Linked DNA regions of Ovis aries. The protein of the gene in region 1 interacts with the protein of each later gene in a pairwise test. Links are inferred from orthologs where the notes say so. Each region holds a gene or a part of one and is shown on either strand. Other genes may lie near its edges. The genes, in order: LSMEM2 and LSMEM1.

The links.
Region 2: the proteins of LSMEM2 (region 1) and LSMEM1 interact in binary tests that used the Homo sapiens proteins (3 or more experiments, as listed by UniProt). The two-hybrid records come from large-scale screens. The link is inferred for Ovis aries from reciprocal best matches to the Homo sapiens genes LSMEM2 and LSMEM1.

The regions. Positions count from the first base shown.
Region 1 is NC_056072.1:50,135,377-50,139,249, reverse strand, and holds the start of LSMEM2 (leucine-rich single-pass membrane protein 2), read left to right. Parts: upstream 1-1,006; 5' UTR 1,007-3,873. Other genes in the region: SEMA3B (semaphorin-3B), read left to right, coding at 246-647.
Region 2 is NC_056057.1:57,453,869-57,456,892, reverse strand, and holds the end of LSMEM1 (leucine-rich single-pass membrane protein 1), read left to right. Parts: intron 1-1,778; coding exon 1,779-1,909; 3' UTR 1,910-2,365; downstream 2,366-3,024.

The DNA.
Region 1 (3,873 bases):
TCCAGCCCCACCCTGTGAGTCTCAGGCCAATCAGACCCCTAACGCCCAATTTGGTCCCTGGCCCGCAACTCCGCATCCAGGTGAGGCCCCATTCCTCTAACTAGGCGCCTAACATCCCTGCCCGGTCGGAGAGAAGCCCTGCCCTCTCCTCGCCCACTGAGCTCTCCGACCCGCCCTCACTTGCAGATAAGCTCCGCCCCCCCGCCGTTCCCTAAAATCCTCGCCTCCCGCTGATCCACCGGCAGGTGCCTGCGGAGGAGCGGGCGGAGCGCTCGAGGAGGGGATTGCTGCTGCGCGGGCTACGGCGTGGGGACTCCGGCGTGTACCTGTGTGCAGCGGTGGAGCAGGGCTTTTCGCAGCCACTGCGTCGCCTGGCGCTGCACGTGCTGAGCGCAGCACAGGCTGAAAGACTGGCCCGGGCCGAGGATACTGCGCCAGTCGCCCCGCCGGGCCCCAAGCTCTGGTACCGGGACTTTCTGCAGCTGGTGGAGCCCGGCGGCGGTGGTGCGAACTCCCTGCGAATGTGTCGCCCGCAGCCCGCGCCGCGCCCACAGGTCCCTGAGTCACGGAGAAAGGGCCGCAACCGGAGGACACACGCCCCAGAGCTGCGGGCTGAGCGGGGCCCGCGCAGCGCAGCGGACTGGTGACTTGGCCGTCCCCACGCTGGGGACTGGGGAGGAGGCGGCAGGAGGGAGAGGGGGCGCTCAGACCCTGGGAGACGGCTAGGGGCCGGCGTTTCCTGATGGAGGGAAGACACCGACCGACAGGCCCTGGCCAAGGGGCAGCCATGCTGGCTTATTTATTAACAAGAGGATAACCCTTGAATGTAACCCCAATAGGGGCGGCCTAGGCTGAGCACAGGGTCCGGCTGGTCGGGAGGCAGCAGAGAAGCAGGGTTCCCCGGGTACTTGGGTGGGAGTGGTGCCCGGAATGCCCACCCTGGGAGAAGGACCACCTCTTTGGGCAATGAGCAGAAAGCTGTGAACAGGCTGGGTGGGTGGGGTGGGGCAGGCCGACTGTACTAATGCAATAAACACATTTTCAGCCAAAGCTGGAATGGCCCCAGCAGACAATTGCTGGTCTTAGTGTTACCGACCCAGGTTCTTGGACTCTTTAATCAATAGAAGTTGATAAGAGGCCAGATGAGAAATTCAGGCAAGGCTTCAAGGACTCATGCTGCAGAACAAGGGAGTGAAAATAAGCCACAGGTGCCCAACTAGCAACAGGTGCTCTCCCTTGCTTGTGCTGGGGGTGGGGAAGGAGGGCAGGAGGGGTGAGTTGGTTCCTTAAATGGGGTGAGGGTAGGGTCAGATCCATGGTTCAGGCAGTAGGGTGGCTTAGGTGGTCAGCCTGCCCCCTTGTGGTGGTGTGGCAATTGGTTTTCTGGTCTGTTTTTTTGGGGGGGTGTCTTTTTTGTATCTTGTTTATAATTTGCCCCAACCGCAGGTTTATATAGTTGCTTTTAGTTGCTTACAGCAGGATTCCCCAACCTCCAGGCCTAGGACTGACACTGGTCTGTAGCCTGTTAGGAACCCGACTGCACAGCAGGAAGTGAGTGGAGGGCAAGCCAGCGAGCAAAGCTTCTTCCTCTGCGTCTTTCCATTGGTTGCTTTACCAGCTGAAATCAACCCCATCCCTCCCATCTGGTCCCTGGAAAAACCTGTCTTCCATGAAACCAATCCCTGTTGCCCAAATGGTCAGGGGACTGCTGCCTTACAATCTCTCTGTAGTCCGTTGCTCCAAGAGATGTTTGTCCAGGTGAAGTACTACAGCATAGGGTCCCATGTCTGATTCCCCTCTAGGGGGTTCTACACCCTTTCTTCTTAAGGGTTAAGGGGTTGAAGTTCTCTTCTGAAACCGCAGATCCTAGCCTACCCTAGAGGTGCAGAAGTCCCTCGCTGACTGCTTTCGGGGACCTGGGTTCCCCTCAGCTGGAATCGGTTGAAATCCTTGAGCCATCCTGAGCCTTACTTGAAAACTGTTGGGACCTAGAAGACACAAACTTAACCAAAGGGTTAAACAGACAAGGGCCAAAAAGGAGAACAGTAAAAAGCCAGTAGAGCAGGGGTCACCAACCTCCAGGATCTAATGCCTTGACAATCTGAGATGGAGCTGGTGTAGTAATAGAAAAAAAGTTCACAATAAATGTAATGTGCTCAAGTCGACCTGAAACCATTCCCCTACCCCATGCCCACTGAAAAATTACCTTCCAGGAAGCCAGTGCCTGGTGCCAGAAAGGTTGGAGACTGCTTCACTCAAGGGTCTAGGAAGGGAAGGAACCAGGATAACTTTGACAGGGCTTCCCTAACTGCTGACCAGACAGCGAAGGCGACAGCGCCCCTGCCAAAATTGTGAAGCCATTGCTGCTTGGGTGTCTATTTAACTTTTCTCTTTGCTGTTGCATTGATTTAGGTGCAGCAGGAAGTGTTAGTTACCCCACAAATTGTGCCTTGTTCTGTCAGAAGGTAATCAAGGACTAGATGATTATCAAGAGGTAAATACATTAACCCAAGTAACAAGAGAGGATTAAGTCCCATTAAAGCTTGCTCTTGTTGGTTTTATCACAGAATTAAGCTGTCTGGTGAGATTTCTCAGTGTGGCTTCTTGATAGGGAAAGCTACCCCATGGAGCTACCAGTCCTGTGGCCAGCCCTAGGAAGTGAACATTATTATTTATTTAGGTATTCAGCGGTAGACACTTGGGATCTTTGATTTTCCTTGCAACGTGTGTGATCTAGTTCCTGACTAGGAATGGAACCTGGGCCTCTGGCATTGGGAGTGCAAAATCTTGGCCCACTGGACCACCAGGGAAGTCCCTGAAGTAGACATTGTTAATGCAGTTATAGGCCATAGCTTGGACTTTCCCCGCGGCTCAACCATAAAGAAAACTCCTGCCATACGGGAGACATTGATTCAGTCCCTGGGTTGGGAAGATCCCGTGGGGAAGGAAATGGTGACCGTCTCTAGTATTCTTGCCTAGGAAATCCCATGGACAGAGGAGCCTGGTGGACTACAGTCCATGGGGTTGCCAAAGAGTGGGACACCACTTAGCCGCTAAACAATAAAATAAAGCCTTGTGAATATCAAGTGCCCAGAAGCACCAATTTTCAATTTGTTGTTATAAGAAATGACCACAAGGTGGCAGCATTTCTCCCTGCCCAACTCTTGATTCCTTGGGCAACCAGAGCCTTAGGGGAAAAGTCCCATTCCTGGGTTGTAACTTAGAATGGGATGTGCCAGAAACAACACCCAAGGGCTTGTGTCTTCTTATTTCTTCCACCTTATCCTCCCCCACCCCAGACAAATCCAGAGCCCTGAAAACCGGCTACAGTGAGGGTGCTGAGGGTGCTCTTGGTAGGGTGAGTCTAAGGCAGAAGGTTGGAGGAGGGAACCCCTCAACTGGGAGACCTGAAAACCGGGTGAATTTACAAAGCTCGTCCAGCCCTGGGACTTTCCTGGCAGTTCAGTGGTTAAGACTCACACTTCCAGGGCAAGGGGCCCGAGTTCCATCCGTGGTTGGAGAACTAAGATCTCGCGTTCCATGTGGTGTGGCCAAGAAAATTGTTAAAAATAACTAAAAATGTCAGGGAAAAAAAAAAAAAAACTTCTAGCTCACAGAATCCACCATCCTTTGGGTACGCTAGGCTTGGCTTAGCTAGAGGAGGGTCTGACTGGATCTGGAGACTGTGGTCTTAGCGGAGCAGGCACTGCGGGGCCAAGGGAGGTTCTCTGATGACACAGCCTCCCTCGCCCCCTTAGCTTTACCACCCTCCAGCCTGGAGACCAGGCCTGCTCAGGCTTCAGGGCTGCAACACAGGCCAAGGTGCCAGAAGCCTGAAAAAAAAATAGAGTAGGCATTTCTTTTCTTTCTGTT
Region 2 (3,024 bases), on another chromosome or scaffold:
TCCAGAACTCCTGGCACTCCACTGCCTTTTGTAGTAATAATAAGAGGCTTCCTGTGGTTTGCAGATAAACTTTAGCCCAACCTAAGACCAGAGTTGGCACGTGCTTGCATGCTTAGCCACTCAGTTGTGTCTGATTCTTTGCGACCCCATGGACTGTAGCCTGCCAGACTCCTCTGTCCATGGGGATTCTCCAAGCAAGAACACTGGAGTGGGTTGCTATGCCCTCCTCCAGGGCATCTTCCCAACCCAGAGATCAAACCCAGGTCTCCCGCATTGCAGGTGGATTCTTTACCATTCTTTACAGGCCTCTGTAAATGAACTTGGCCTGTGCTCATCTTTGAAGAGGAAACCTTTCTGCTCTCACTGAGAGAGCAGATTTGTATCATTTTAACTGAAGTGTAAGAACTTATATCTGGCATTTTTATGCAAGAGAAATAGGCTATTTTACATTGATTACATTGATTAAACTATTGGACCTTGTGTTTTTGTTACAATCTCTGTTCTAAAGAGGAATACCAGACAGCAAGGGTAGATTACACAGGATGCCTACCTGCCTCTGTAGGTTTACAAGGGCCAAGCAATGTTAGATATGAGGTGTGTGGGATGTGATTAAGTATTGCCTTCATTTTAAAAAGGGTTCTATGGTCTAGTGAGTTTGAGAATTGCTAGGTTAGTAATACTCAAGGTATTTTATTTTACTTTTTGTGAATTTCCAAAATGCAAGTCAGTATATGATTTTTTTCTAATGTTTTTGCATATAGAATCCTTTTTCTCTTTTGGAATTTAATTTGGAGCTAATATATTGTGGAACAGACTTAATCCAACCATGCCTGCTACTCCCTTTTGTGTTTGACTCATGTAGAAGGTTCCAGAGAGAGGAAAGGATGTCGCATGCTGTGGATTTACTTGTTTCACACTTTTCTCCAGGAGCGAGTGGTATTTCTTCTGTCTGGCTCTGCACCAACACACCCACGTTCTAGAGCACAGTTCATCCAAACATAATTTTCAGACACAATGGGGAGGTGGCTTCTGGGCAGCAGTTTGTCCCAAGGCTGGAAGCTGAAGCTCTGATGCCTTCCCACATTAGTTGTTGGGCAAACTCGGTGGTGTGTCACCACCTGCATTAGTTCCTGAAAGCTATCGTGGAAAACACTTGCCTGAAATGGAAATGATACAGAGTCCATGTATTAAATACTGATTTTGTGCTGCCTTTCTTGGAAATTTTAACTGCCAAGTAGGCCTTACAGTGCTCCACTCCCCGGCTTACTCAATACCCAGGGGCTCTATTTATTTTGGAAATATGGTCTCTCTGCTCTCGGAGTGGCTGGGGAGAATTATTATTATACATTCATTATGGACTGGTAATTTAGAACCAGGAGACCTATGGGTTGGAACCCAAAATATCTCACCTCCCAAATGATGAGTGAAAAACCTTTGCTGAGAACAGGTCTCAGAATGAGACAACAGTCCCTTCTCTGGGCATAATCAGACACTGGCAGTTTTCCTGTGGTTGTTCACACAATGTATTTCTCAGCCAGAATCTGAGCAGAGCTGCCAAAGGTAGTCAAGTCTGGCACAAAAGGGTTGTAAAAATAATTCACTTCATAGGAAACTTCAGTAGTTTCTCTCCCGGGCCTCAGGGCTGCATGGGCTATTGGAGCAGAGGATTTGCCAAGACGGCATCTCTGCTCCCCAGCTGAACCCCGCCATGGGCTCTGATGAGTCGCGATGGAACACGCTGGAAATAAGCATAATGCTGTCTATTTTTCACTTTTAAGTTCAAACTGAAAACAAGATGGAAGATGTGTCAAGACGACTAGCAGCTGAAGGAAAGGACATAGATGATCTTAAGAAAATCAACAGCATCATTGTAAAGCGACTCAACCAGCTGGACTCAGACCAGAGCTAAAGAAATGAATCGTCCAAGAGCAACTGCTAACACCTGAGCTTCTCACGGTCCAGGAAGGGTGTATGGTTTAAGAACCATCAAGGGTATTGCTGTGGGTCTTGAAAGACTGAGTTTGAATTACAGAGATGGGAGCAACTCCAAGGCAAGAGGGGCTGGGGGCAGCTGCCAGAAAGAGGCTTGCTTTGTGGGAGTGTCCTTCAGCTTTCATGGGCTGAAGGGTGGGAGGCATGGAGGAAAAACACCAGTAGATGAGAAAGGGAACTTGGCTCTGCACATGCAGCTTCTTTTACCAAAGAAGATTTGTCACCAAAATAAGGTCACAGTGGCCAGTAAAGTTCATGGCCCCTCATGTATCTTTATGAACTCCCGGAAAAGCCTAAGGGATTTGTTGAATTGTTTGTATTCAAGGGAATCAGGTGATAATTCTTTTCAATAAAGGAGATTCTGCTCAGGTGATTATACTTGACTCTTACTTCTTCAGGGATGGGGGATGGATCGACTCAGAGCTATTTGCCTACAGCTGTTTGTTGATAGTAAAGTGCGTATGGTAGGGTGGGGACCAGAGGAGAGAGCCCGAGTTATTCAAATTATGTTTATTGAGCTGTTGCTTTTTGCAAACCACTGTATTCTACAGAAGTTTACATTCAAGTGGGGAACAAAGGAGATATGTAGTTATATATAGATATATGAGGTTTTTGGCTTTCCGACAGGAAAAAAATCCTTCAGTAACCCGCTGATTAATTGTGCAGAAATCTGCTGGGTTTATAGGTTATAAGTTTATTAAGTTGCAGTGAGAAATTGTATATTTGGAATATTTGGAACCTGCCTTGTTTCAGCACAAAAGGTAAGGCACAGAGTTTGTGAAATTAGACATGCTGCAATATAAATGAGCTTAAAAGTACGAATCTTAGAAAATGTTTACTATAAATATATTGTGTAAGTCTGTTCTGTGAAATGTATTATTGTTCTATCATTTTGGGTTCATTAAAAACATTTGAGTTTATTCTAAAGTTATATACATACATAAAAACACATTTTGTAACAGTAAATAATGAAAAAAGCACAAGATGTTTCACCTATTCATTGTTACACTCAACTTTTTTTAAAGTTAACTT